Elephas maximus indicus: one gene and its partner. The protein of the gene in region 1 interacts with the protein of each later gene in a biochemical or structural test. Links are inferred from orthologs where the notes say so. Each region holds a gene or a part of one and is shown in the gene's direction. Other genes may lie near its edges.

Region 1 (3,745 bases):
GCTGTGATGTTGGAGAATAAGGAAAGTGATTGGAGAGGTAGGGAGAGTTCATTAATAAGCTTGCACTTTATTCTGAAAGGATAAAGGGAGGCCATTTACATTTTAACCAAGGGAATGATCCATTTAGATATGCGTTTATAAATAGATCACTTGGCAGCTGAGGGTGTTGAGATTATCGGAATAGTGCACACGGCGGAGCTCAGCTGAGACAAACCGGGCGGAAGCACGGAGTGGAGAGGAGCGAGAGGCTGGAGAGGCTTCGAAGTCAGGTACCGAGCCAAACTGTCACAAAAATAAGCAGAAACTGACGCAGCCCCAGGAACAGCTGCTAGCGGGGAAGAGGAGGTTGGTCAACGCGCCGCGGGAGCCGCCCAGGCCTCCCGGCGCCGAGGGCGGGACCAGGGCACGCACAGCGGGATGACGCAGGGCCCAGGCCGGCCTTGTTCTGGCCGCCGCCGCCGCCGCGCTGAGGCGGAGTAGGATGAGGCCCGCGGTCGGGGCTTCGGCGTCGGCGGGGACAGCAGCAGCTGAGGCAGCAGCTGAGGCAGCCGTGACGGCCGCGCCCCCCCCTCCTGACCTGGATTAGGCCCAGCAGCTCCGTGGCCGCCGCCGCCCCGCGGGGGGGCGGGGTGGGGAAGTGCCCCGTCTCCCCGCCCCCCCCAACACCGCCTGGCAGGAGGCAACCGTCGCGACCCCAGTGGAGCCCGCGGCCCAGGCTTGAGCCCCCACCCCCGGGGGCTGGCATGAGCGGCCCCTCGGCGGCGCCGGGGGGCGGGGGAGCCGCTGCCGCCTGAGCTCCGGCCTGCCGCCCGACCCCACCTCGCCGACCGAGGCTGACCGCGGAGCGTGCAGACGGCCCCGCCACTCCTTTCTTCCTCCCCCAGATTACACACCCCAGCCCCGGAAGATGGGGAACTGTCTCAAATCCCCCACCTCGGATGACATCTCCCTGCTTCACGAGTCTCAGTCCGACCGGGCTAGCTTTGGTGAGGGGACGGAGCCGGATCAGGAGCCGCCGCCGCCATATCAGGTAGGGGAGGTTGTGTGTTCGAGAAAGCGGGGGGGGGAGGGGGGGAGGGGGGGGGAGGGGCGGGGGGCGAGGATCAGGCAGGTCTGGCCGAGATTTGAGGGGGCTTCAGGACCATCACTGCCCCTAGCCCCGGCTAGGCCTGGTTGGGGCTGTTTGCTATTCTGGGGCTGAGTCTTAAGGGTGATTGCCCTCCACTCCCAGAATAGGGGTGATCCTTCACCTCCCCTCTGGCACCGTGTAGGGGTGGTGCTCTCTGTCCTTGCGTTCTGGGAGCGAGTTTGCGGTCATATCCCTTTGGCAAGAGTCTGGTGATTAGTTTGTGAAGTTTTGGAGTGACATTATTTTCCTGCCTTTATGTCTGAATCCAAAAGTCGGAGTTGTGGGGTTGGGGGTAATTTCCTCATCGTACCGCCAGCTGGATTATGGGTTCTGGATAAGTAAGTGGTTACCTCCCACCAACTCCATTTGTATTTTCATGTGTGATCATCTTCCCCTCCCCCCTCCTACCCCCACCCCTCCTTCTGTCTGTGTTAATTGGATCTGGTGGGTGTTCATTTCTCCCTCTACTTGGGAGAGGATCTCCAACTGGTGATTTTAGTCCCAGCGACATTGAGTTACTTGTTTATATGTATGTATATATTTGTTGATTTTTTTTTAACCCCACCTCACTTTTGCTCCACCCCTATGACACACCTTATAAAATGTGCTGACTTAATAAAACTTGATTAGCTTCAGAACTTTGGAAACCTTTAAACCTGACTTGGGAAATACCTTCTGTTAGTTGTGATTCTCTCTGTATCAAAGGCTTTCTCCTAAATAGGTTTCATTGCGTTTTGTACAGCAACCTGCAGGCCCAGATGTGTTTACAGAGTTAATAAGAAACTAAAACAGGAAACTCAAAATAGAATATGCAGATGTTAATAATCCATCATACATATACACCCCTTTTCTTCTGCGTTTCCAATTTTAAATGATGTTGAATAAAAACTTTTTTCCCAGAAGGGCTTGAATATTTAGTCCTTAGTTTTTTCCTGAAGGGAGTTTAGTTTTTCTAACTGGGCGGTCTCCTTTGTTGTTTCATGTGGTGACATCATTATCTAGTGTTCTTTTTTCATTCCTGTGTAAACTTGTGTCTCATCACACAAGAAAAACCTGATCACATATGCTGGTTTTCTGAGTAAAACCCTTCAGAGACCTTTCATATCTATCAATCAAGCCCAGTCTTATTGTGGCATACAGATTCCCCCATGACTTATCTCTCACATTCTGTATTCCAGGCCTGCCAAGTACACCAGGCTGTTCACACCTCTCTACCCCCGCCCCCCCCCCAAGGTCTGCCAGGTGAACATCTGATTCCCTTTGAGAACTCAGTTGTTAGGTCCACATATCTGAAGCTTTTCCTGATATTCCCCTACCTCTATCCCTGAATCCATCACTCTCATTTGTGTCCCCTTGTGCGCATCTGTAAGCACTACCTGTAACATTTTAGTGAATGTTCTTGTTTAGTTAGATGAATGTCACATCCTTGAGGAGTTCCCTCCTCCCCCAGTATAAGCTGCATGAAGGTAGACCGTGTGTCTTCCTGTTTGCTGCTGAATCCGCAGCGTCTGGCACATAGTATTCAGTAACTGGGATAAATGAATATACCCCTTGAGAACAGGAACTGTGACTCCAATATTTTGCACATTTTCTGCCACATAAGAAGCACTTAAATGTTGAATGAATTAATGAATTTAAATTCAGTATCATGTTTTCTACATTTACACACCCATTTCCCCAAAGAATTGTCACAGTGGTAATCTTTTAAAAATGCAGGCCACATCTGGACGTCTTTCCGAACAAATATCTTTTGAGTGAAGCAAGTAACCTGTGTTTATACTTGCCTTTGTCACCCCCCCATATATATGTTTGTGTGTGCATATATATATATGTAATTCATTTCCATTTCAGGAGAGACAGTTTTTTAGAGATGTGAACTTTTATTTCAGAGTTCCCCCTTTTGTGTTCTCTAGCCTGTTTCCAGGCAAGTTGAATGTCTTGACTTGTTGCCCTCTCTCCTATCCTTATGGTAATTACGGTATTAAGGAGTATTTCTTTAGAATTTATGGAAATAATATAGTATTTGCCCTAACCAGAAGGACTAGATGATAATGATGGTTTTTTGGTATCACAAAGGAACAGTTTTTGAAACATGTTATTTCTGACAGTGGGTATTTTCTTGTGGTTACCCTTTCCTGAAGTGAATGATATGCAAATTTAGTATCATTTGGAAGAAAATAATTACTTTAAAAGGTGGGAGCGTAAAAAGAGAAACTTGTGCAAAAAATGTCCCCCGAAGGAAATAATATTTCTTAGGAATGGTTAATTTACATGATCTAAGAAACACCAAATAAAATATTTTTGGTAAATGATTTATAATGTTTTCATTGGATCTAAGTAATGTATTTTTGTAAAAGAATTAGTATATAATTAACAGCTACAGGAATATAGGCTTATTTTTTAAGAAATTGTTAGCTGCAATGGGATTTTTTTTTTTTTTAGTAAAGAATAGCTGATTATAAAGAAACACATGTTGTTTTTCTGTAGTGAGTAGTTATGTAATAAGTAATTAAAGGATGTCTTTGGTGTTGTTTTTGTTGCACAATGTATGTATATGCCAAGAGCTCTGTAGGGTAAACTTTTCTAAGTTCCAGTTATTCCCTTTTAACAGTATCT
Region 2 (3,745 bases), about 960 kb from region 1:
ACTGGAAATAGTATCACGATTTGTCTGACACCAAAGTTCCTGTTCATTCTACTATACCACTCTGTGATAAAATACTGTATCCAGAAAATTTGGGGACCAGAGGATTTGGAGAATTTCTCTCCCTACTTCCCGTCTGACATCCTTTTTGTTTTTGGTTCTGACGTTTGCACCCTAGTGGTTAAGTGAGAGTGAATGTGGGTTACCTGTAAACCAAAGACTCCGCAGCTCCCACTAAAAAACAACTTCCTTCCTTTAGAGCCTTACCTAGGATTTGCAGGGGGTGGGATGTAAGGCTGGTTTTTCTTCGTTTTACTTCTAAGTTGTTTATGAATTTCAGGACAATACGTTGGGTATTCTCTTGCTTGACATTCCCCCCCCCTTTTTTTGTTTTTTCGGGGGATGGGGGCTAAAAGTTTGGCAACTGTAGGAAGATTCTGTTATGATGTGAACAGTAGAGCCCCCCAAAAGTTAAGGTCAAAGACAAGTCCCTCTGTTTTGGGAAAGGTGTGCATGTATGTGTGCGCGCGCGTGCGTGCGCGCATGTGTGTGTGTTTGAAAAATGGTTTGTTCTGGGTCACTCTTCTTTCACCCAAACACAGTGTTGGGATTTGAAGGGATCCCCTCGAGTCCTGCGAGATGAAAACGAGGAGATGCCCTCACACTCCTGCCCTCAGGTGCAGAACCGAGTGACAGGAACATTCACGCACCTTACCGAGAGAAAGAAAAGATGTTGGGGCCTGAGGACTAGGGGCGGTGGGGACCAAGGGGTTTCCGTTCCCCGGGAGGCGTCTCCCGGGGCGAGAGCTGCGCGAGGAGCGCGGGGCTCCAGTCTCCCCCAGGCCGTCCTCCCGCCCGCTCGCGCCCCGCGCGGCCTCCGCAGTCCCAGCGCCGTAGCCAGGCGTGGGGTCCAGGGGGCGCTGTGGCCCAGCGGCGCCGGCGGCGCAGGCAGCAGGAGCGGCCGCGACTACGCTGGAGGCTTCGCGGAGGATCCTCGCGCGCAGCGCCTCGCTCGTCCCACCGCAGCCTTGCGCCCCCGGCCCGGCTCAGCGACGCTCCTCCGGGATCCGCGTGGCTGCGGCGGCCCGAGAGCCCGATGCGGCTCGGCGGGCTCTGGGCCCCAGCAGCAGCGGCGGCCACAGCCCCTTCAGGAGTGGGAGGCTCCGCGGCGGCGCCTGGGGCCGCGCCGGTGCCCTCCGGAGGAGGCTGCCAGCTCAGGGACAACCCCCCCGGCCATGCTGAGGCGGCGGCCGCTGCTCGAGGTGAGTGCGGCGCGACGCGGGTCGGGCTCGTCAGCCTCCCGCTGCCCGCGGGGGCCCCGGCGACCGCCCTCGGGCCGGGCGGACCGGGCGTCCTACCGCTGCGGCCGCCTCCCCCATCCCGCGGTTCTGGGGCCTCAGCCCTTCCTCTCCCCCCGCGTTCCCTGGGAGGCTGGAGGCGCTGGGGCGGGGGGAGGGGGGCGACTAGGCCCCAAGCCGCCGAGAAGCCCCAGCCCCGGCCTCCGTTCCGGCGCGGCCAGGCGTGTGGGGCTGGGGGCGAGCGGGGGCGCGGGAGCCCTTTGGGTTTGCCTGGGCGCGGGGCGAGCGCAGCCTCTTACCCCGGGCCCTGTACGTACATCCCAGAGGGAGGCAGAGGACGGCTGTTTGCAAACAGCCTTGGCTGCTCGCTCCCCACACCGAGTCCCGCAACGTCCCGCGGGGGGGGGGGGGGGGGAGGGAAGGAGATGAGAATTGGGGTGCGGAGAGTGGGGGGCTCTGAGAGGCCCTGGTGCTCCTGGAGTGTCATTTCCGGATCTGACTTGCTTGAGAAAAACCCTTTGCGTCTTATTTGAGGTGAAATGTCATCACCTGCCGGTAGCTTATCCCTGCCTTCTTGTATTACATCTTGACTCTTGTAAGCGCGGTCTGCCTTGGAGAAAGCCCCATCCCAGCTTTTGCGATGTTGTTTCCTATATAAATACTCGGTAATTATAAAAATATCTCTTTTTACAAAGGTCTGTCTTTCTCCCCTTCCCAGAATAAGAAATTTTGTAATGTTTCAGTCCACGGTACAAAAATGTTCCACCATAATAGATCCAGAGAAAGGATAAACAAGAGGATTTTTCTAAAAATCATACTGTTATTAGAAAAAGTACTGATGAAAATGGAATACCATGTTAGAGCAAAAATGATCTGTTCTGGTATTAATGTAAAAAAAAGTTGATTACAGTTTGATACCATAAATCAGATATTTGGATGTTTATGGTTTATAATAAATACGGTTACAGGTTATTCTTGTCTTCCTGTTACGTGTGTGAAGCTTGTAGGATTAAGTCGGTGCTTTTAAAACTTATAACATGAAAAAATATTCTTAATGTGCAAAATTTAAAGAAAGGTACTTGTGGGCTTTCAAGGAATAAAAATTAATAATGGACGAGAAATCAGCCATAATCCCGCAGTTAGTACATTTTGAGGGTCATTCAAAGTTTAAAGTGGGCTTGTACTGATGGTGATTTTTAATTATGATTTCTGGGTATTAGGTTCAAAGTTAACTTACAGTTCTGTTTTACTGTTTAAAACCCAGCCATTTTGATAACACCTAAAAATGTTTTACTAAATTACACTGCAACCATGGTTGAATTCATCAAATAAAACTTGGATTAACACGGGTAACTACCTCAAAGACTCCTCATTTCTCGTGCAGCAGAAGGAGCTCCTGAAGTCTAGGGAGGTTCAGTGTGCTAAACAGATTTTGAGGACCTATTAAAAAAAAAAATTTTTTTTTACTGAGTTAGGTAATGTAGCCCTGTATTATTTTCGTAAAATTTTGTTTAAATATTTCTAACTGTAAAAAATTGGTTTGATTAAAATTTATATTCGTTAGTCGAACTTAGGTTTTAAAAAGTTTGATTCAATTCTCAGTGTGTTTCTGAAGACCTCCAACGTTAGCATCAGCTGAGAGTGTGTATTAAGATATGCGAATTCCTGGCCCTTGAATCAGAATTTCTAGGGACGATGGTAGCCCAAGGGTCTTCATTTTATCAAGCTTCCTGATTCTTAGTTCTACTAAACTTTGAGAGTCACTGATAATGGAGTTTAAAGTTAACTAGCCTTGTGGAGCTGAAACAACCATCTCTGTTTTCTAACAAAGCTATCAATTTTAAATGGCATTACATTCATTTCTTGTGACAACAGATAATGGTGCTATAATCTTAGAAAGAAAAATAACGATATTTTGAGGGACAGTTGATTTGATCAACAAACATTTATTGACGGCCTACTGTGGTAAATGTGGTGTTATAGAAAGACACTTGGTCACTTACCTTGGCAGTTAATCTCCCTGGACCTCAATGTCATTGCCTATGAAATGAAGATGGTTGTTATACTTATCTTGCAAGACTTTCAGGGTGAATACATCAAGTGATGTGTCTGAAAAAGTTTTGTAAACTGCAAAAGATTTTTTATAAATTTTTATCTATTAAGTGCTAGGTGCTGCCTTAGGTGTTCTGGGAAACACAATAATGACCAAGGGCTCTGCTAGCAATTAGGTAATTGTGGAAGCAGGACATGTTTAATTAACTGTTACAAGGCAGGGTCGGACAGGTGTTGTTAATTGAGTGGAACATGCTAGATCTCTATTTAAGGCTTCTATCCCTAATCTGGAAACCCTGGTGGCGTAGTCGTTAAGTGCTACAGCTGCTAACCAAGAGGTCGGCAGTTCAAGTCCTCCAGGCGCTCCTTGGAAACTCTATGGGGCAGTTCTAGTCTGT

Evidence for each region.
Region 2: the proteins of RNF11 (region 1) and ZFYVE9 form a complex in vitro, tested with the Homo sapiens proteins (2 studies listed by BioGRID). The link is inferred for Elephas maximus indicus from reciprocal best matches to the Homo sapiens genes RNF11 and ZFYVE9.

Annotation. Positions count from the first base shown.
Region 1 is NC_064821.1:94,258,015-94,261,759, forward strand, and holds the start of RNF11 (RING finger protein 11), read left to right. Parts: upstream 1-832; 5' UTR 833-907; coding exon 908-1,030; intron 1,031-3,745. UniProt on the Homo sapiens protein: Essential component of a ubiquitin-editing protein complex, comprising also TNFAIP3, ITCH and TAX1BP1, that ensures the transient nature of inflammatory signaling pathways. Promotes the association of TNFAIP3 to RIPK1 after TNF stimulation.
Region 2 is NC_064821.1:95,222,389-95,226,133, forward strand, and holds the start of ZFYVE9 (zinc finger FYVE domain-containing protein 9), read left to right. Parts: upstream 1-934; 5' UTR 935-1,259; intron 1,260-3,745. UniProt on the Homo sapiens protein: Early endosomal protein that functions to recruit SMAD2/SMAD3 to intracellular membranes and to the TGF-beta receptor.